Regions from separate parts of the Mus musculus genome. Here all the other regions are reported to be linked to region 1. Evidence: microRNA targets listed by miRTarBase, many of them from high-throughput screens and not tested one by one. Region 1 holds a microRNA gene; each other region holds the end of a gene's coding sequence.

The links. Region 1 holds the annotated microRNA mmu-miR-351-5p (UCCCUGAGGAGCCCUUUGAGCCUG, at 4,922-4,945, opposite strand). A microRNA usually pairs through its seed, bases 2 to 8, with sites in the 3' UTR of a target mRNA and lowers its output. Matches are read on the target gene's strand: a 7mer-m8 pairs with bases 2 to 8, a 7mer-A1 pairs with bases 2 to 7 and ends in A, and an 8mer does both.
Region 2: the mRNA of Antxr2 is a reported target of mmu-miR-351-5p. Seed matches in the 3' UTR shown: 7mer-m8 at 6,087-6,093.
Region 3: miRTarBase lists Siah2 as a target of mmu-miR-351-5p. Seed matches in the 3' UTR shown: 7mer-m8 at 1,453-1,459.

What each region holds. Positions count from the first base shown.
Region 1 is chrX:53,048,394-53,055,914 of GRCm38, forward strand. It overlaps Mir351 (microRNA 351), which reads right to left and starts at 4,960; the gene lies at 4,862-4,960. It overlaps Mir542 (microRNA 542), which reads right to left and starts at 1,094; the gene lies at 1,010-1,094. C430049B03Rik (RIKEN cDNA C430049B03 gene) reads right to left here. Exons shown (of 4, transcript NR_038185.1): 4 at 4,719-7,097. It overlaps Mir503 (microRNA 503), which reads right to left and starts at 5,661; the gene lies at 5,591-5,661. It also overlaps Mir322.
Region 2 is chr5:97,879,527-97,887,363 of GRCm38, forward strand. Antxr2 (anthrax toxin receptor 2) reads right to left here. Exons shown (of 17, transcript NM_133738.2): 17 at 5,162-7,074. The coding sequence ends at 7,036. Among named protein-coding and RNA genes, the nearest start is that of Gm34097, 36 kb to the left of the region's middle.
Region 3 is chr3:58,669,221-58,677,057 of GRCm38, reverse strand. Siah2 (siah E3 ubiquitin protein ligase 2) reads left to right here. Exons shown (of 2, transcript NM_009174.3): 2 at 615-2,109. The coding sequence ends at 1,172. Among named protein-coding and RNA genes, the nearest start is that of Siah2, 19 kb to the left of the region's middle.

The sequences.
Region 1 (7,521 bases):
CTCTATCATTCAACCACAGCATCAGTCCCCAGCATATTTGTTCAATAACATTAAAGCACAACTCAGGATAACTATAATATTTTGATCTGTTCTCTTAGCCTTATATCTGTATATTGATCCCATGTATGTAAAATTAAAACGGAGAAGAAAATATTTTGCATGTTTATCATTAAACGCTTTTTATTAGTGTTTGTGGCACATCTTTATGTCACAAAAATTATTTTCAGAAATATCAATCTTAATGATAGCATCCTATCACATTGTCTTAGAAGAGCATATTTTATTTATGCAACCCTTTACTATTAATAAGTCATTTTATCCTCAAAATGACTGAAGTGAAGGGAGGTGGTAACCCCAGTGACATAGATGGTGAGGCAAATGAGCCACAGATGCAGATTCCTCCTGGCAGGCCTAGAGAGTGATTTAAAGCCAGCATGAGCAAGTTAGTGAGGCCTAGTCTCAAAAAAAAAAAAAAAAAAAAGAATTGCAAGCAGGTATGATGGCATACACTTATAATGCCAGCCCTTGGGAGGGGGAATTAGGAGGGGAAGGAATTCAACATGAGCCTCTGCTACACAAGTTTGAGTCTGGGTAACATAAGATCTTGCCTCAAAAATAAATAAATAAATAAATAAATAGTAATAAACATCCTGATGTTTTTTCATTTTCCGTGACTTTCCGTGGCTTGTATATTTATCTTCATGGCTATTTATATGACTCCACATTTTTAAGGTAACCTGTTTTTCTAAAGCTTACAGCTAATGTTTTTCTTGTTTGAGGAAAAACATAGTTTTAATATTTTAGCCTATATATAAAACCATATGTCCTGTCTAGGCTTCAGTGGACTGAATAGAAATGCAAATTAATAAAACCCTTCTCATTCTATAAAAACACAACCCATACCCTCCCCCACTCCATGGCAACCCCTTTCCTCCTTGCCTAGGGCTCAGTCCTCTCCTGACCTCTCATCTCTGTAATACTCACCCCACCAATTCTTAGGAAGAGGAGTGGCTCCCAGACCTTTCAGTTATCAATCTGTCACAAGGGCACAGTGGTATCTCGTGACATGATGATCCCCGAGACGTCTGAGATCCCTGCATGTGTAACCTCAAATTTCTGGATCTCCCAGTACCCTTAAAGACCTTTTAGCGAGTAGCATTTCACAATGGGACACAAATCAAAGCACAACAAAACAAAGAAACAGCAAAACTGTGAAGATGGGGAAAAAAAAACAAAACAAATAAGCAGCTAACCAACCTACTACAAATTCTGTTTTTAAAAAGTCTCTTTGTTTTGCAGTTTCTTTCCAGTTTCTACTCTACTTTCAGCCACCAGAGTTAGTGTAATTCTGTGGCCTTGATTTTTAAAAGCTTGTTATCTTAAGAATGTTTCTAAGTTTCTAGGTAGTTTTTATGATTATTCACAATGACTAAAAACGTTCTTTTGAGGATGCCACTAAATTAATCTCTATGGTTAGTTCATATTTGCTCCCTTAATTTACTTGAGTCTATAGAAAGGATCAAAGCTTTAAAGTGAATTCACTTTACAATTTTTAAGCTTGTACACATTGAATCATGCATGGGTAGGTGACTTACAGTCATTACTTAATCATGAAGTCAATCTTGAGCCTCAGTTAGGAAGTGTCCAGCAGTTAGACTCTCACTCGTCCTTCTTAGGACTAGACAGTTTCAACTAGACCTTTTCTAACCAAACACACTAGTTCAGCTCCATTTTCTGTCCTAATCACTATGGTGTAAGCTTCTGATGGCCAGGCAGGAATGTTACCTGGCACAGCATGAAGTCTGCATGATGCAGTTTCCCAGGTTTCATCTTCAGAATCCTCAGGTCTCTCGAAACTTTGTCTGCCTTACTTATCTCTCAAAGTTGTAAACAACAAATCTATGAAAGCAGTTGGGGCCGTAAGTGAACAGAGGAAATGAAGGCAAGTGCTGAGATGAGGATTGTAAAGATTTGGTTTCTAGGGCACAAACATTCTGCCTTCACTCTGCAGAGTGGAGGTGGGGGAGGGGTAGCAAAAGACCCGAAGGAAGGAGTCAGGCTGCAAAGCAAGCAGTATTCCCAGCCCCCAACAATGCCCCCGACTTGGAGCTGGGGAGGGGAGCGGGAGGGGGGGAGTGCGGCGGAGGGGGCGGGAGGGGGGCACGCTTTTCAATTTTCACCACTTGCTCCGAAGACAGAGCTCAAGAGTAAAGGGGAGTGCTCCAAGGCTGAGGGACCACAGGAAATGGAAATCGTTAGAGGCTCCTCCCACAAGGCTCTAAGCCCCTTTAAACTTGAGGAGGATATCAATTGTGGACCCAGTGCAGGAAACAGATGAGTGAAATATTAGGACAGAGCCAGGAGATCCTAGCTCAATGGATGGGCATAAGGCAGGCTGAACTGGGCCTCGGAGATACAGATTTGCTATGATTGGTGTATACATACTGTGTTTCGTTTTAAGAGGCATACAATAACTCTACATAAAGATGAACGTATAAGTTTCTGGCATCATGAGAAATGCTTCTGGACAACGGGAAAATAGATCTCTAGAAATTAATGTTAACTTGGTAATGCCCACAGCTCAAGTCTTTTGATCTCTATCAATATATATTCATTGATCTTCCTGAAGCATACTTTTTGAACCTATTTGTATTTTTTTTTTAATCTGCACCGTCTCTCAGGAAATCTGCCTATTAATTAATTTATGTCGTGTAGATTCATCATGTTTCCCTTGCTGTTCCCTCCTCCTCAATGGATTGACAGGTATGGTGCTTTAGAATAATCAGTAAAATAATGGGCATTGCAGAGTCCTTCTTGGGTGTTTGTTTAATTGGACAGTTGCCCATGTTACTGGACATCAAAAGCAACACAGAATTATTTGGTCTCCCAGCACTGGAGTGTATCCAAATGTTTTCCTGTTTAGGATTCAACTTTTCTCCTTGTCTGCGTGCATGCATAAATGCTTTACACAATTACATTTGCTGACTTTTTCTGTGGCCCTGGTTATTGGCATCTAGTTTTTCCAAGTAACATTGACACACATCTGTTCAAATCAATTGACGCTTCTATCAGGACTGACTCATTTGGTGGAAAAAACAAGTTTACATGCCAACTGGAACAAAGGAGCCTAGATTTGGGGGAATAGCAGGAAAAATGAAAACGGTGGGGCCGGATTATTTGACTTACAGATCATAAAACACTTTCCAATAACATTTTAAAAAGGTATACAATATTACACTAGTGACTGGTTATATACTGTACCCCCCTAGTTGGGTGGTTTTCAATATCTAGTGTGGTAAAACGCATATAAATTACAGTTTTTGAAAGATGATTGTACTTTCTTGGAACAGGAGTCTTCTGTGTCCACATCCCCAAGATTGTTGATGTAGTGTTCCCTTGTTGGAAAACCAAACCAAACCAAACCAATATGGCTAGCAGAAGATGCCTTCAGAAGTATTCCTGTTATTAAAATTGTTACAAAATTATGTTCAATTCTAGTGTATCACAATAACCTGAATATCTTGTCCTACAACTTACAGAAATGTCAGAGTTTAGATTTAGAGCCAGGCTAAGCTTTTCATAGTTTTAAGAGCCATGTCTGTCTAGTAACCTTTTACAATGCCACGTGCACACAGCTTCCTCACTAACAAATAACATGTGTTGGGGGAAAAAAAACGGAGAAAACAATGGAGAGGTGCCTCTTTGAATGTGGTAATGGAGGATCAATTAATCAGCCGACCATAAATTGAATCACTTTATACAAGTCTCCCACACATTATCATGCACATTTAGCAATGTTTGAAAAACAATTTAAAAGAATACCTTAGGGAGTTGTTAAAGGGAATTTATAATCTGGAACGAATTGCCATCTTCTTAATTGACATAGAAGTGTTTGGCTAAAATATTGCTTTATTCACATTTTGCCCTTGGAAGAAAATCGAAGCACATCATAACTTCGACTAGGCAAATAAAGGTGCGAAGAGCATTTCAAATCAAAAAAGGGCACCACGCAGCCAGGTGCTATGTGGATGAGCTCAATTTTGGCGCCCTTGGGCACCTTGGGCTAATGGCATCTTAGATTCTTAGTCAGTGGCCTTAAACCTGGATCATTTGCTCCTCTGCTCTAAAGTCCCCAACCCACCTGAATCTCACTTGAATCTTGCAGGCACCCACTGGAAGCAGCCAGATGGCGCAGGCCAGATTCTTCTGGGTGAGTGGGGGCCTTCAGTGAGCCCCGGCGCTCTTCCTCTGGCATAAGGCAAAGCCCTGTTGAACAGTGGAGATGGAGAAGGGAAGTTGGTGAGGGAGAATAGGAAGTCTCAAAGTGCCCCTCCTCCAACCCTGCGCATAGGAACGCGGGGCGCCTGAACCTGTTAGCCATTTGTCTTGGGGATTCCGGGCCAGAGGGGCCCTGCCAAGGGGAGGGGTGAGGCAGGAGCTGGGGGGCGTGGCTTCAAGAAGCCAAGGAGATGGGGGCAAGGCGTGGCTTAAGTTCCAAGGGGTTTCAGTGCTCCTGGGAGCCAGGGGGTCCTTGGGGGCCCAACGGGACCCAAACCACCTCCCACACCTTGTTCAAACGCAAAGGAGTCTGGGAGAAAGGCATTTGGTGGCTAGAGCTAGACTCCCAGGCTCACAAGGCCTCCTCTAACTGTACCTTTTATGGGGGCCTGCACCCAGTCCCTGGGGAAGATGACAAGCAGTTCATACAGACCAGAAGGGTGTGTGTACATGTATTTTATTTCTTTTTAATAAGACAAAGCAGCACGATTTCACCCACACTCCGTTTTCCAACAGTCCTTTACATGCCTATACTCCAGATTATGGAAAGTGATTTTCACAGGAAAAGTACAGTCTTGCTCCAGAAGTTTAACACTCTTCTCCAGTTCCCAGGCGCCTCTTGACCTGTTTTTTTTTTTCACTCCAGGCTCAAAGGGCTCCTCAGGGAAACGGAGGTGCCATGATTAATCACAGCAGAGTTTGGGATGTCACAAAGCAGCCATTTTCTCAGAGACTTCTAGGCAGTGACAAGGGTGTCCCCATGTCCCCACTGCCATGTAGAATTGTGTGATGACTTTGGGAAAGGGGGATAAATGGGGACTAGAAATGCAGAGCCTCACTGAGGCTTCCTGTTGGGCCATTGCCTCTCATTGTACCACCTGGGGGTCCGCACCAGCAAGACACGAAGAGATCCAGGGACACTCCCACGGACCCCTTAATCTTTCCTAAACTGCAAAGAGAAATGGGGACTTTCTCAAGTCATCCTTCCTGCCCTTCAGAACCCTTCTTATTCCTTTTGGAAGGACCCCTTCTCCATTTTGTTGTTGAGGACTTAGGACAAATTTTCTTGTTTCGCTCTTGTGGGTGGTATACTACTTGATGACCAGGAAGTGCTTTTTTTTTTTCCCAGTTGATTCACTTTTACCTGAGCAGCAAGTGAGGCGCTAACAACACACTTTCAGTCACACCCAGTCAGAGTCACAGATCAGCAACTCTAGTTGGGAGCTGTTCTAGAGTCTCCCTCCCATGGGGCCTATGCTGCAGGCTAACCGAAACTTACCTGGTGGGTGTGCCCATGTGGAAGACCCAGACTTACCCAGGCAGTGGAAACAATACTCCAGGGCACCAAACACTCACTGCAGTACTGTTCCCGCTGCTAGGGCACGACTGAGTGGGATGGGCTGAGTACAGGATGCCTTGTCCCTTCTTCAAGTGAATTGCCACCTTGCTATTCACACCCACCCAGGCCCTTGGACTGTGTAGAGTGACCCTCACTAGACTAAGCCCCTGCCCTCCCACCTACCTGCTTTAGGGCTTTTAGTAGAACCCACACAGGTCTGTTCAGCAGGTCCCCACCTTCTACATTCCCCACGAAGGGGTGTTGCAGCGCTTCATGTTTTGAACCTTGGCAATACTCCAAAACATGAATTGCTGCTGCAGCCCTTCGGAGTCAACGAGGGTGGGGGCCGCTCTGGGGTACCTGCGAAGGAAGAAAGTCTCTGTGATTTCCAGGATCTGCTGGTGAGGCAAAGGGTGTACTGTTGGAAAGCAGGGTGTGGTGGATAGTGGGGAGGAGGAGACTCTTACCTCAGAAAGTAGATGAAAAGTGGGATTAAATAAACTGAGACAATTTGGTAACATCTGGATCACTCTTGCCAGCTCCAAAGTCTTGGTGAAACTTCCTGCTACCTTGTATAAGTCTCATTTATTGTCCCCGGGTTTTGATCATTTATTGGAAATTGGTGCAAGGAACTTTTGATAATCAAAAAAAAATCCCTCTGGGTAGTCCCAGTTGGTTTTACTGAATACTATAGGCATGGAATAGACTTGTCTAGTAGTTTCCTCCGTTCTTACAGTAATCACCTCGTCATTAGTTATTTTTAAGGACAAAGCATGAGAATGTTCTAGATGAAACATACATTCCTGGATGTTCTCATACATTGCTGGCTACTCAAGCTTATTTATAAAGACATTTGTTACCATCGACATCAAATCACAAATCAAGAACTTTAAATAAATGACATCCTTAAATACTTGATGTTAAATACAAATCACTCCTTCTTAAGCCACGCCACTGAAAATCTTGTCTTGAAATGGCCGGCACTGTGCGCTCTCCTCAGCTCCCACTGTTGCTTTTCAAAATGGACACACATGAGCAACAAGTTACATTCATTTCCTTGTTTAAACAAAGCATTCAGGAAAGCACAAAAACCATCCTTTAGTCCTTAACCACAAACCTAATAACTAAAACAACAAAACTACAGTGCCTTTGAAAGCAAAAAACATTCTGTATACAAATTTCCTGTATTCTCATTTAAAATTATGTCCGTTTTTCGAAACTAGTACAATGAATGCTGGGTCCTTTTAATTAATTAATAAAATATACAGAGTATGTAATTAAACTAAATACAAAATTCCTAACATAACAGATAATGATCCAGTGCTAACATATGCATTGCTTAGGTCATGATAAATAAAGCCATTAATAATAACAGCCCCACTCCTTAAGTTGGAATGAAAATTCCGTCTTTTCTTGGCTATATTACAAGTCATTTTTACATGGACACGGAATTGTGGAGGAAAAAACCATCGATGGTCACCTTTAAAAAGAGGAGAGAGAAAAGCCGTGTTTAGTAAAGATACAATTATACTTTAAAGATACGTATTTTTCTCCCAATTTAACTTTATGTCCCACACAAATGTCACATCAGAGATTGCAATTCCTCTTAATTTAACATTTCCTTAGTTGACTACTCATAAAAACAAAATTCATTCGAGATAACATCATCAAAAACGAAGGTCTTACTAGATAATTTTGTTAACGAATACACTGGAATCAAATTCATCTCTAGATTATCCTTCATCCATTTCTTTTCTTCCCATCACTCTACAACGACTTATATCCTTAAAAAGCCATCTCACTCCCTGGGTTTGTGTATTTCCCCTTGGGCTTAACTTTACTTACGAAAAGAGAGCACAAAGAGATGTCTGGTCACTTCTAGAGAGGGTCATTCGCTGATACAA
Region 2 (7,837 bases), not on the chromosome of region 1:
AGCATATAAAGGTTTATGTCCTAAGTAGTTCATAATATTGTTAAATATGTAAATGTACTTTTTAAAAAGAGTGTGTAAGTACTGATATAGAATCTGAAACATACAAAAATGTCTCCTACCTCCTGGATCAAAATTAATAATTTTTCTACCAATTCAATCTACCTAGACTTTAACTCATCTTTATCATTTTATACTTTATCACACCTATGACTATCTTTATAATTGCTGCTTACCAATCTTTAATATATATGTGAGATTTGCTTCAATTTTAAAACAAGTTCTTATGAGAACATTCTTAATTATGGGTGAAAAACAGTTAACAGGTGGGAGGAAGTTCTGTTGAAGTCCATATGTCTATTACTGATGTTAGCATTAGAATATCAGTGTATTTTTGCCCATAGTCTCTGGTGATATTTAAATACCTTCTTAAATGTTTTTCAGAATGACAGCAGAAAGCTTTCCAGGAATAACTTAGTTAACGTATGGCCTTCTGCACAAATGCTTTGGAGGAAACAAAACTCTGACCACATGCTTCCATCTCCTGGGCGATCTTTCATCTGGCAAACATCTTCCAGCAGTGTAACCCTTAGCTCAGTTCATTGTGTGAAGTCTTAAGTACAGTACAAAACACGCAGCACAAAAGAATGGAGCAAATGGAGGGTCTCTCCCGGCTCCAGTCATGGCGTATCAAGATAATGAATTTCCACAGGGGTGGATTTAACACGGAGAGCTGAGCCTAGCTTGTAGGTCTCTTATGGTGATAGGTTAAAAAAAAAGTAGCTATTTAAAAAAGGGAACTCACAGGTTTGCGTGAGCTAAATAAAGACCCTTGCAACATTCGTGTCTTCCTCCCTTGAACTAATGATTGTTACTCTATATGGAGAAAGGGAACCTTCAGGCAATGTTCCTGCTGAATTATGGGAATAAACACAGGACAGTCGCAATGGTCTTTATATGGCAGCCGGAGACCAAAGGCAACTGCTGCTGTGAAGACTGTTGAAGGTTGGTGTGCGGTGCGTTGGAGGCAGATGAAGCTAAAGATTGTAGGCGGCAATAGAAGCTGAAGAAGGCAAAGAAAAGAAATCAGGGAGAAAATAAATTTGTGTTACGTTTGGAACACTAAATATGTAGAGCTTCATCATAGCCATGGGAAAGGGAAATAAACTATCTCTCTTCAATTTCGTTGGTATTAAAAGTTTCTCAAAGCAAGAAATTATGAACATATGTGATTATAACCTTGAGGTGAGATATATCACACTGATTTTTGAAGTTATGGGAAATATTTTTTAAAGAAAATTGACCCCCAGCCTGTTCATAAGGCCTGTTTGAGGAACTTGAGACATGCACTGTATGTCTCCGGGAAGCCCGAGGAATCAGCTTTTCTCTGTCATTTGATAAGAACTTTTGAAAGGATTGGTTTAGTGTTAGAAATGCATCTGGTTAGTAGTTCCTGGGCAGTGGCAGTACACTGAGTTATTAAGCCACCATGATGCTGCACTAAGTTTGCATTTAGTGTTGTGATATATGTGACTGAATCTCCTCAAAGGTACGCTGTAGGTCATGGTGCAGTCCCCAGTAGCTTCTTTAAATTATTTACAATTCTTTCCAATTTCCTGAAATATCTTTCTCCTTAGAGAAGGCTCAAGATGCTCATTACAAAACTCCTCAAAATTTCTCCTATAAAAAAACATTAAGAATTTGTTGAAGATTTTTACACTTGAGCATATTGTTTAAAATATAATCCTTCCTTCTGTGTGACAGCCTCACACAAACAAAGTATTTAAAGAAAACGAAGGTCTGTCATTGCTCTGTTTAATTAGCAGAAACTTTTAGAATTAAAAAGATGTTTTTAAAAGTAAAATAACTTGAAGAGAACTTGAGTGTCATCATCGTCATTGTCTGGTTTCACATCAGAAATTCAAGTCAAAATTCCATTTATAGGCGTCATCTGCTAGAACTGGTCAGTTTTGTTTCCCATTTTGAGTTTTTCTCCAGTTGCTTTTACAAATCAGATGGTGGAATCCATGAGCTTGCCAAGAGATTTAGATTTGTCCCTAATTGAGCACAGGATGCAACAGCTTCCTTTATCAACTGTGGCTTTGAATGTGCTCAGCCCTTCCATTCACATCTATTGTTTCCCATCAACCCCCACCCCCACCCCCGCCTTTGCCTTCATGAAAGAGATGTGTTTATTGTTAATGGTCTGCCCTCTGGGAAATAGTTTCTAATACTTCTACTTAGGTTGAACATATTTAAATATACATTCTAGTCATGTCTAAAATTTGCTCTATTTATGACTAACATTTGCAATCTTGCAAAGATAACTTATCAGAGATATAAATAACTTTTTAACGATTAGGAGATAAAATTTAGGATTTGGGGGGTATAGGATTCTTCCAGTAGTCATCTACATTAAGACCAGGGTAAGTCTGTGCAAGGCTCATTCTGTGAATAAACTCCAGATGCTAAACACTAAATCACTCAACAAAAGAGTTCTCGTTGACTATGTGCTATGGACAACATAACACAGGCATAGTTGTTGTTAATCAAGTGGGCTTTTCGTTTGTTTTGATTTTCCTTTTGTCTAGTGTTGACTGGGGGAAGTATACATTTTAAATTTCTATAATATATAAATGATTTCATAACTACTTCAGAATAGGGATTTTCTTTTGCCTCTGTATATGAAAATTTAAGACACCCAGTGAGACTGGAAGACCAGAACAAACTCTAAATACCTTTTCTAATGTTTTGCTTATCTTAAGAGAGGTTTTGGTCATATATGACTATAGTACCTGTTGCTCTAACAAATTCTTCTGTAAAACATTGACTAAGAAATTACACCATTATGACTAATTGTCAACTTATATGTTAGAGTTCAATGTCTTTTCTGTAACTAAACTGGCAGTTTGCAGAGCTAATACTATCAAACTTTACAAGGAAGAAGGCACTCATGACAAATTTGAAATAAACACTAAAATCTCTGATTTCATCATTTTCATGCAAACATCAGAACTGGGAGGAACTTTTGGTATGACTGAAGTGTTGGCCTCTCAAGCCAGCCAGCCACCTGCTCACTAGGTGTCCACACAGAACATCCCTTCCTGCTTCCCATCCTGATAAATGAGGAAAGCAACTTATATATGAACATGTATATAGAGATGTATGTTCTATACCTTGTTCTTTCACATTATAATATTCTTTTGGCAGGAGTACAAAAAATATATTTTACAAAACAGCAAGAAGCCTGTTACATTATGGGTTTTCAATAAATTTATTCATTCTTTTACCCAATTGACTGAATAAAATTCTAGTAAATATAGAAATATACTAAAATTAAAATGTTCTCAGAATATTCCATAGAAATTGACTAGACAACACTAATATAATGAGACTTCACTATAGCTACACTGACTACAGACAGCACTTCCTAGCTTCATGAGCCTACTGCTTCCTTTAACTATACAACAGATGCTCCAATTAGTCTAAGCATTTAGAGTGTGTGTGTGTGTGTGTGTGTGTGTGTGTGTGTGTGTGCAACACACATTTCCCCTGTGTGTATATATACAACACTTCGAGCATAGTAATTAAATTCTAATAAATTTGTTAATATAATAGAAAGGAAAATCTAATAAAGGTTAACCAGAATATAAAAAAGAAATTACAATGGTTTCTAATACTTGTATTATAACCTTATTATATTTTGTCTTTAGAATTTCCAAACATAATATCTGTAAAACCACCAACTAGAAATGTCTCCATCAACTTGCTCCTCAATACAGATAGTGCTTCAATCTTAAAGAAATTAGTCTACCTCTGAACAGTAAATACAGGTCAGAGACATTCAGATAATGAAATTCAGTTCACAGAGACACTCATATCTTATATCTGATAAGGATTTTTTAAGTGATTAGGACAAAGTTCATTGGAAATAAAAGAAAAACTTCTCAACAACTTGAAATATAAGGTTTTAAACCTTTTATATTCTTAACAAAATAGTAATTAACCATAGATGACAGATGCTGCTCCCTAGTCAATGGAGACTCTTAAGTTTTACTCTGCATCTCATTGGGAAGGAAATATAAATTTTTAAAATAGAATTAACTTGGGGGAAGGCATCAGAGCTGCAACTCTTAGCACCAAATGTTTCTTCTTGGAGCACCAAATGCTTTACGGAAAACATTCCAAGTATCTAAGTTTTCAGATAGATAAATATTTATGGATCAAATCCATAAAGAACAGACATTGTTATGAAATATATATAGATGCCTTCAAAACTTTCTTTCTAGGCAGAGGAGACACATAAGTTAGGAGTCATTTCCCACTTAATTGCTTTTGCAACCTTATGTAACACAAATGGATGATGGACAAGACTCATTTGTTTGTACAAAGGAGGAGATCTCGACTGACATCGTGTCCAGATCAATCACACGGGAGCTATTGCTATGTATGAAAAGTGTCACATAAAGATTCGCAATGTCCTCTGCCAAGAAGATTAATTTTAAAAACAAATTCTCATTTCTGCTAAGATCTGCGATTAAAGCATAACATTAATCTGGTTCATAACTTTAAGGGCAATGGAATTCCATCTGTCTTTGAACCTTATGAATGATCCTTTCCCAGTCTATGTGTAGACTCCTGACTCACCCTCTTCATTTACAGCTCTTTGTTGTATTTTTATGACACATCCTCCAGCCAGTGCAACAAATCTCAAGGAAGCTATTTTGCCATTTAAAGGCAGAGGTTTATTTACATCCCTCGTGGTGCAAACATGCTACAGGATTCTGTGAAAATTTGAAGTGGTTACCAAAGAAACATAGCCAGAGCTTCTGTAGTATTTTTGATGCTCTTAAAATATCACGAATGGGTGTGTGCCTGCATCAGAAATGAAATGCCTTTTGGGGAAGTGGCCATAGGTCCTGTTTTAGAGGCAGACACAGAACAAACGTCTACAAAGACCATCACAGGAAGAGTTAGGTGTACTTACCAGCCTTCTATGTGCACACACAGATTATACCCGTAACATCAACCATGAATCAACTGTGAACATGTTGGATATTTTACAATGGAATAGAATTCCATCTTGTTACTAACCAGAGCAGTTGTGTGTCCAACCCTACAAAGTGTAAGCTCCATGTGAACTTAAAGAAACTGATAACAGAGACACAGGTAAAAATTTTTTATTCACTAATATGTGGAGGTGTGACTTTGGATCCAGCCAGTCAGTGATATAAATAAGGTTGAGCAAAAAGATTAAAGCTAGAGAGTGTAGGTGTGTGCATTTGTATATTTGTATGTGTGCATAAGGCTTCTTGGAGCAGTGCCACAAACGTGGACACCAATGAAAAATATCACTGCCGTCCTTTGAAATTTCCATGAAGAGTACAATGCGGGCAATTATATGAGGATGCTCTAAATGGCTCTTTCCATCTCCTGCACTCACATGCCCGCCAAACATGAAATGTTCGCCTTCTCCCTTCCAAAGTGATGGTTGTTGAACTTATTTTTAGTGTCATTTGATAAGCCTTTGTGCTCGCAGAGAGACATCCCACTGACCCGGCCACTGGTCATTGTCTATAACAGTTCACATCAAAGCAGGCGCGCTTTGTCAGGTTTCCAGTCGAATATCCATTTCGCATCTGAAGTACAGTATCGAAAGTGACTAGATTATCTGAGCTATTTCCTTCGGCTGCTGCCGCCTTCCTCCCCCACCGGGTTTCTGCTCACACTAACATAATTTGGCATCGTTGACGTGACACGATGGTGATATTTCTAAAAATTTATAGTATGTATATTGTCCATGCTTTCTGATGGCGCCCCTCCTGATTTTAATTTATAAACAGAAGGAAGGAGGTCTCTTTCCCAGGCTGAACCACAACCAAGGTGTGGTGCTCCTCAATTTCTAAGTAACATGCATACAGTGATAGGTCACTCAATGTCAAAAGGCATAAAAAAGATGAGCAAAATCTTCACAGGCTGCTGCTTGCTGTTGCCTTTAATTATATTAATTAAACTTTGAAATTTTCATGCAAAGAGAGTTGCTGGCTTGTGACGCTGAAGAGCCCTTGGAGACTTGAAGGAAGAAAAAACCCTGAGCGGAAGCTTTGTGGTTGCAGCTTCCTTAAATTAAAAGCCAAACAAACATCTAGGTGTTTTTACAGATATTAATGCTTTATGCACTGCTAAATCCCAAATGCTGAGAAAGGGGGATCTACCAGGCTGGGGACAACGTCTCAAATCACAAGTCCTTATGCTGCGCTCCAGGTCTTTGGTTGGAGGCGGTCTTCCTGTTGAATTAACGCTCTATTAATTCTCTTGTCTCAAGTGCATAATAAAAGAAAGGTGTCTTGGAAAACTAAAGGGCAAAAATCCTGCTTGCATCCAGTACCTTGAGGCGTCTCGTCTACATTTTGTCATGCGTGTGCACTTTCAGTGTAACAGTGACAAGATTTTCTAGTCAGAAATTTCCTGTAAGGCACAAAGTAATGGAGGACTTGGAAAGGCTTTGCTATCTGACATAGCTACAAGGCAGTGGACTCCATTATCTGTTTAGCCTGGGAGGAAACTTCATGTTTTGCTTGTAGCTAAAGATCTTGCCAAACAAAAGCACAGGGGCCACACATTCATGGCAGAATCACCAGTCTCCATTGCAAACCTCTGTGGCTGGTGGATTTGCAGTCCTAGCTTTGGTATCATTACATCATCGATGTGTCTGCTTTGTCCTCTTACATAGTCAAAACGAGCTTTGCATAAACCCTAGCATGCAAACTAACATTCCTCGGGATTTTCAGTGTCGTGAATCATGGGCTATCGCCGATGACTTTCATCACCTCTCATGTCGATGGCAGAACAAGTGTTGGAAAATGTTTAGTGCACAGAAAGCAGAAGGCAGAGGAAACATTTCCTGACAGAGAGAAAATGGGCTGTTGTCCCAAGAACTTCTGAGATGCACCGGACTGTCGGTTCTGTTGGAAATCAGCATCATGAAGATACACTGTCACACTGTCTTCTTATCTTCTCATTCTTTGTTCTCCCGTCTTATTGATGTGGAACCCGGGAGAAGTTTATGCATCGGCCCTGAGGGAAGAAAGATATCCATGGTGAAATAAGGAAGCAGTTGTTAAAAAGTCAAGGAGCATCTACTTTCCATAGCAAGATGTAACTAATGATACCAAAGCTCAGAACAATGTCCCCATTAGTCATTAAGTCATCATTTTCCCTGGCTCAAGACAACATGGCTCAGATCTTATTTCATTTGATTTTATTTATTGTGTACAGAAAATTTGCTTATTTGATGGTATGCTAAAGTCCATGTAGAAAAAAAAATCAACATGGGATTAAAACTTTGTAAGTGCTGTCTGAAGTGTGGCGCCGCTGTCATAAAATCAAACTCTCAATAACATCACCGTATACATTTCTATGACGAAGTAAAAATGGATGAATTTTCTTATGCAATTGAGTGATTCTAAAAATGTGCTTACGAGGACTATATTAAAGAGGTCGTTAAAACCAAGGACAAGGAAACCCGAGACTGGATAGAGATGCTTTCTTTGTGCTGTACTTTATTCTACATCACATCCTAGATTGCTGACCCACTTCTAACACCACTATTATAGATCCTGTTTTCCCAAATTAAGACAATTTACTTCAATTACATATTTTTAGAGAGTATTTTTTCAGTCCAGTTCCTAAACAATTTAGTGAAGGTTGTGTAGATATATTGATTCATAGAATAATCACTAACCCAATAATTATCTGAAAACAAAATTTCCCATTGTTGATAAAGACTCTCCCTTCCCCCTTTCCTATAATACTGTTGACTTGTGACACATGACTTGTG
Region 3 (7,837 bases), not on the chromosome of region 1:
GATTCTTTAAAAACAAAAACAAAAATCTGTAGGCACAGCCCTCTTGGGGACAAAGGTGAGGACAGAGGTGACAGCATGGCAACAAAAGTGGGTCCCAGCCTCCTCCACCCAGGCTTAGCCACTGGCAGTCAAGACCAGGGAGCCCTGCCCACTGACTAGATGACCTGCCATCAGTCTTAGGAAGGACTAAGTGAAACTGCGCTGTCTTCAAAGCCATCTGTTCGCAGGAAAAGCCTAGAGATGATCCCGTGTTCCATTGCCCCGCCCCACATCCAAGCACTTGACTTCTTAAAAGCAATCAGGGCTTATCAAAAGTGAGGAAGAGGGCCATGTTATCTCAGTAGTTTTGCTTGTCTGGTATAGGGAAAAGAACAATTGATCCTCATTGTTTACCATTGTTGGGGTGTGGGTCTAGAAAGCAGTGCCCTGACTTTACACATGATGCTATTGACAGTGAATAGAAACTGAGACTTGACTTTCCTTCAACAGAAGTAGTTTAGATAGATAGAATTGGAGCCCAGGAAGCCCAGTGTGGGTAGGTCTGCATAGATGCTGGTACTGAGGAGGTTTTGGGAAGACGCCATGATGCAGTATGTTGCTTTCTGTCTCTGCAGTATGCTACCACGGGCTGTTCCCTGACTCTACACCATACAGAGAAACCAGAGCATGAAGACATCTGTGAATACCGTCCTTATTCCTGTCCTTGTCCTGGTGCGTCCTGCAAGTGGCAGGGATCCCTGGAAGCTGTGATGTCCCATCTCATGCATGCCCACAAGAGTATCACTACCCTTCAGGGAGAGGACATAGTCTTTCTAGCTACAGACATTAACCTGCCAGGGGCTGTGGACTGGGTGATGATGCAGTCCTGTTTTGGCCACCACTTCATGCTGGTACTTGAAAAGCAAGAGAAGTACGAAGGCCACCAGCAGTTCTTTGCCATCGTCCTCCTCATTGGCACCCGAAAGCAAGCTGAGAACTTTGCCTACAGACTGGAGTTGAATGGGAACCGGAGGAGACTGACCTGGGAGGCCACACCTCGGTCCATTCATGATGGCGTGGCTGCAGCCATCATGAACAGTGACTGTCTTGTTTTTGACACAGCCATAGCACATCTCTTTGCAGATAATGGGAACCTTGGAATCAATGTCACGATATCTACATGCTGTCAGTGAGGCTCCAGGAGGCTTTCCTAACCCTGGGAAGTTATTTGGGCATAGCGCTCTATGTTTAATAAAGGTTTTTTAATAGATGTTTTATTCAGTACATCTTCCCGAGGCGAGACCCACAACTGTCCTATGTTTTATTTAAATGATAGCTTCCTGTCTGGCACTGATGAATCTAAGTTCACCGAACTGTGATAATCGGAGTTGGCCTGTTAGTAATTTGGAGGTGGTTCGGTGATCTCAAATCAACTCTATTCTATTTCCTTCCTGAACAGCTCTTGACAGATCGCTCAGGGCTGCCTCCCCCTGCCTCATCCTGAGCCAACAAAAGCACAGTGACTTTCCTGAGAGTCCCGTTATTTCTAGGAGGTAGCAGTTGCTTTAATACCTTTCAGGCTGGGTATTTACACAGAATCACCTGTAGTACTCATCTCCAACACAGAGCTAGAGAATCAACAGAGTTGAGCAACCTCCTCATCTCAGAGTTTGAGGATTACTGGCTTGAATTGTGGGCAAGGGTCCAGGATCTAAAGGTGCTTTAAGGCGTCCTCTGCTGACACTGTTGGTCTCTACTGTCCGTCCTCAGCCTCTGCACACACCACATGGAGACCAGAACTCTAAATCCATGGGGATGCAACCCCTGGGGTTGGCCTGCTTTCAGGCGCTCAGTGAGTTGAGAGTTCTCACAGTTAGTTGTTGCTCACCATAGTACGGATGACTTGTTTACATATGGCTTCCCTTGGAAGCCCTCCTTGACTGTAACTGATGTGAGAGACTAGATCAGTGCTTGGGAGAACTTGATAACCAGTGTCACATGCTTGCCATTTTAAAAGCATGTGTCAGTTGTGTGGGTTTAGTTTTTGTTGTTTTTGTTTTTATCTTTACATACGCGCACACACATACACACACACTTTAATTTTTTAATAAAATTTTTTCAATAAATGAATGTCATGCTTCATTTTCTGCTTGAATCGTATGTATCTATTGCACATCTACTGTGGACAGATGCAGAAGTCTCCACCACTACCTCTAGAGCTAGTACATCCAGCAAAGCCGCTGGTCCAAGGTTGGGGACAGCAGCCCATAGGTCTAAACCCAGTCAGTGTTATGCGTTGTCACTAGTGATGTGGGTCTCATCTCCAGGATTGTTTGCTGTCTGACTGCCAGCTGTGAGAAAACACACAACTCCCATTTTCCAAAATTACAAAGAGGAGGCATGGTTAGTGTTGGGGCCAGAAATGATGAGGCCAACCATGGTGCACGCTCTCTCCTTCCAAGCCCAGTGTCCCAAAACAATTCACATTAGCCCTGAACTTTGTTCCAGAATTCAGCGTCTCCTCAGTGAGGTGATTAAGCTAACAGAAGAGCAGTTGGGAGTGATGGCTCCGGAGCTGTCCATGTTTTCTAAGAGAGACACATGTTAAGCTTTAATCACAGAGTTCTGGCAGGTAAGGAAGTTGGCTGGTTTTATGCCAACTTGACACCCACCAAATTTGCCTGTGGTAATTTTATTAAGGTTGATGTGGGAGTATCCAGCTCGCTATGGACAGTTCCACCCCTGGGCTGGTGGTCCTGAGGGCTGAACACGCCAATAAGCAGAACTTCTCCATGGCCTCTTAGCCCCTCCTTGTCTTCAGGTTTCTGCCATGCTTCAATTCCTGCCTTGAAATCCATCAGTTATGGACTCTGATATGGAAGCATAAGAAAAATAAGCCCTTTACTCCTCAAGGTGCTTGTGTATATGGTGTTCTATCAAAGTAATAGAAACCTTAAGTAAAACCGTTGCTAAGGTAAATTATAGGCTATTCTTCAAATGAAGAGTAAAAAGATCTGTACAAAAGTAGATAATGATATATTTTGGAAGTGAAGAAAAACCGCTGTTGGCACTAAGTACATCACATCTCCCACTGGCAGAGGTAAGCCAGCTTCCAGGAGCAGGTAGGGGCCCATCTCCTCCCATGATACCCAGGCAGTGTGAGTATAAAAAAGCTGAGCCTGTCAGCAGTTGCTTCCTATATAACCCTTCATGTTACTACTGAAATCGGGACTCTGTGGCCAACAGTGCAGGAAAGAAAAAGCTATGAGCAAGGCCTGAAAGGAGGAGATGGAGAAACAGCATGTTAAATGCAAAGTGGGTGAGGAGGGGTAGCCACCATAGTGGCCAGCGACGTGGGTCCTGGAGTTCAGGCGTGCTAATTCCCCATGCCCCTCAGGATAGGATTTAATGAAGGTTAATAAACCTGTGGACAACTGCGCTCTTCCAGTTAGAAGGCCCCACAATCTGATGAGATCACCAACCATGACCTGTCTACTCGCTGGCGTTCCAGAAATTATATTTTCTAACAGAGAAAGAAGAAAAAAAAAAAAAAAAGGCTGGCTGAGAATCCACAGATTATAATAGGAATGCAAGAGGAAGTGAGAAAGATGTAAGTCAGAACTGGCTCTTAACAAACAGAATAACCAATAATTGTCAAGAAGTCAGCATGTGATCTATTTGCCATATTTTTAAAAAATGTAAGATTTCTTCTCCTTTGTCCTTTGCCGGTGATTAAAACATGGCTGATTGGGCAGTGGTGGATTCAGCCTGTGTTGTGTGGCGCTCTGATACATTTATGCAATGGTTCTCAAAAGGACAAGAGAAGAAAATATTCTGTCTTTTTTTTTTTAAATAAACGAAATCTGAGATCTGGAGCTCCCCACTGACACCATCATCATCATTGCTGGGGAGGATTTGGTCTGTGTCTCTGAAACATGGTTTTAGAAGCTAGGTGCAGCAGGAATGACAGAAAACTTGAGAGAGGTCCCTGAGGGCAACAGCCATCTTGGATTCTCAGATACAACCTCGGGTTCCAGCAGTTACATCCCTACTAAAAGCGGCCAGGGTTATATGAGTACCACACAACTCCCTTACGCATGCCCAGAATATCACTGGAGGGAATCATCTCTGTACTAATGCCATTAAGGTTCTTGGAACTTGCCATGGGGCCAGCACTGTGACCCTAAATCAGCCCCAAGGCTACAATTCCTAACTAGCAACATTAGAAGGACTGTTTTCTGAATGTTGTATCTAGTGCTAACTTCTGTGAGAGGACATTCAACTTGAGCTAAAGCAGACAGACCATGCAGGCAGCCTCTGCAGGAAGTGACTCTGGGATGCCAGGGATGTCTGTGACTGGTGGATCACATTTCAGCTGAGTCAGAGCTGCAGGTGCGACCTGGGCACAGAGACCAGCTTTGCTTTGTAGTCCTCCACTCATAGAGTCTGGCCTTGACCCCTGCTTGAACCATGAAGCCACCCATTGTCACAATCTTTAAAACAAACCACCTGCTACTCACTTGAGGCTTAAAATGTACTTTCAATGAATACTGTTCATTTGCCTTAAAGTCTCCAAATGACAAAAAGAACATGGAGTCTGTGGACACCAACGCCATCGCTGTTACCAATTTAAGAATGAATGAATGAATGAATGAATGAATGAATATAAATGTGCAGGGCTTCCTGCAATGTCAAAGATTAGAGCTTCCAAGTAAGGCTGAGTGAAGGCCCTGTGAGCCAGGGAAGGAGACAGTCAGAATACAAACAGACAACTGCAGAGAGAGAAATAGAGAAAGGGCTTCCAAAATTCAAAAAGGAAGTAAAGGATACCAGAAATGTGTAAGGGGTGGGGTGGGGGACCATGACACTGAGAAGGAAGTGAAACGGCTGTAATTCCCCTTGGGTCTGGGGTGGGGTGGGGAGTGGAAGTGGGCAGGAGCCACTTCCAAGAGCTAAGCCGGATGAAAGCTGGCCTGTGAGTACAACACTCCAGACAGGCCCACGCCCCCGTGCCCATGCCCCTAGTCATTCTAGAAGCCAATTGCAAGTTTTGGAAGGGCTGGTTCTCAACTGGTCAGGGAAAGAGATCTCATGCTGTGCGATGAGTGTGGGAGTCTTGAGAAAAGCTGTTCTTGAGAACCGAGCTACCCAGGGGGCCAAAGACTGGAACCTTGAAGTTGGAGAGCTTCAGTTTGTCCTGGGACAGCCCCTGACTGAGGCAGCTGGAGAAGGCAGGGGGCCAGACACTGACAACATGCAAGGTGCAAGCAGCCTGAGACTGCCTTACACTGGGAAGGGGTGGGGGAAAGCTGGCCATCTGGGAACAGATCTCAACTGAGAATAACCCTTGAACTTGAGGGCTTTGAACCTGAGGCCAGCTGGGAGTTCTGGATCTTGGGGATTGAATTAAAGTCACTAAGCTTTGGTGGCCAGTGCTTCTACCCCAGGAGCTGTCTCTCCAGCCCCTCTTTAAAAAAAAAAAAAAAAAGCAAAAAAAAACTTCATATTTTTAATCTCTTGCTCCTTTTTCTTCCCCTCCATACTACTTTCCACTCTCCTCCTTTCGCTTACAGGACCCTGCTTTGCTCTTGGCTCCATCCCGTCTCCTTCCCTTATCTTGTGCTCAAGATCTTCACACTGGCATCAACAGTGTTCAACTTCAAGGCACCTTGTGCCGCAGTCCGGTCACTTTCCATGGCGTGGTCGGGCTGTGAACTGTGTTAAATGCGCCTGTACAGCTTCTGTGGTTTCACGCCACTAGGTCAGTTTGTTTCCATCCTTGATGAGTGGTACTACTCGAGACTGAGCCTTCCAAAGTAGACTGGGAGGAGGCACATGCCTTTAATCCCAAGACTGAGGAGAAGAGGGCAGGCAGATCAAAGTAATCGGTCACTTTCTGATTGGATGTATGTCCTGTTCCACAAGCTCTGCCTGGAACCACTAACTAGGCCAACTAAGCCATGGCTACCTAAGTCGGCTATTCTCCTGAGTGGACATAGAAATGAATTTCCAACTAAGTTCTTGCTCTTAGTCCCATAGAGTAGGGCATCCTTCAGCCCCCGTCAGAAAAGCTGCTTTTGAAGTAGACGGCAATGAGTACAGAGGCCCACCATTGATCTGTATGCAGAGAATAAAAGACTGTGGATTGCTCAGCTCTAAATGGGGCATCTATAGTCACCTCCCCTCCAAGGCTCTGGGATCGTTGTGTTGGAGCAGGTGGGAAATTTTTTAAGAGCATGGGTGGTAGAGGTTTGCAGTGACTTCTAGGCATGGCAGGGCTGGTACACTCACAAACTCACGTCGGCTAGGACTCCATACTCAAGACCTGCACAAAATTAAAACTAGAAAGAAAGAAGAAAGGGAGGGAGGGAGGAAAGAAGGAAGGAAGGGAGGGAGGGGAGGGAGGGAGGGAGGGAGGGAGGGAGGGAGGGAGGGAGGGAGGGAGGGAGGGAGGGAGGGAGGAAGGGGCAATTCATGGGTGCTGGTGATTGAGAGCCTTTTGGGATGTGTTCCTGGAGATGCTGCTCGTACGCCAGTAGATGGTCCTACAACCATGCTCATTACAGGCGAGCACTAAGTAGACTTGGTGAGCTTAAAACAAAGTGCATGAAAGAAAGTATAAGAATCCAAATAGGAAAGAAAGAAGTCAAATTATCCCAACATATAGATGACTTAAAGCTACACTTAAAAGAGCTCAAATGTTATCCCCTTCCCTGGTTTCCCCTCCAGAAACCCCCTATCCCATCCTCCCTCCCCCTGCTTCTATGAGAATGCTCCTCCACCCATCCACCCAATCCTGCCTCCCTGCCCTGGTGTTCCCTTATACTCGGGCATTGAGCCTTCAGAGGGCCAAGGGTCTCTCCTCCCACTGATACCCAACAAGGCCATCCTCTACTACATATGCAGCTGGAGCCATGGGTCGCTCCATGTGTACTCCTTGGTTGGTGGTTTAGTCCTCCTCCTGGAAATTTTTAGATCTCATATACACTTGTAAGAAAGTAGCATACAGAATTGCAACAAAGTCAACATACAAAGATAAATAGTTCTGTGTACCAATAAGAACATGCCAAGAAAGAAATCCATGAAAAAAAATCCTATTCACAATAACTTTGAAAACAAGACTGGGAGAGAGGTCTCTGTGAGAAGCTGTGAAAGTGAAGCCTCATTTGCATAGAAGACTCCAAGATGTTGGAGATTCCAGAGCTATGGGGGTACCTGCCAAGGAAAGTTCCAGACAGTGTGTGGAACCCACCCAGGAGAGAGGAGTGTGGTGCAGGCAGCAAACCTGGAATGGAAACCTCCTTTGCCGTCAGACACAGAGATGTAGAATTCGGAGGCTGACCTGCTGGGCTTCAGTCTTGCTTTATCCCAGTGATTCCTCACTGTGCCCCCTTTCTTCTTTAATGTATCTTCCATACCATTGTGCGTTGGAAGTATGTCACTTACTTTTTTACTTTATAGGGGGTTACAAGTAGAGAGATTGTCTTGAGACTCTGATACATTTGGACTTTTAAATAGTGTTGAGGCTGTGAACGACTATGGAGACTTTTGAAGTTGGGCTGAATGCATTTTGCATTGTGATATGGCTATAAGCCTATGATGGCCAGGGCATAGAATGTGGTGTGCTGAATGAGAGTAGCTCCCAAAGGCTCATATGTTTGAATACTTAGTCTCCAGTCAAAGGAACTGTTTGAAAAGAATGAGGAGTTGTGGCCTTGTTAGAGGAAGTGTGTAACTGAAGTGTGTCAGTCTCTCTCTCTCTCTCTCTCTCTCTCTCTCTCTCAATCAGAATATAGTGCTCAGCTACTTCTCCAGCACCAAGCGTGCTTGCCTGTCACAATGATCTCCATCATAATGC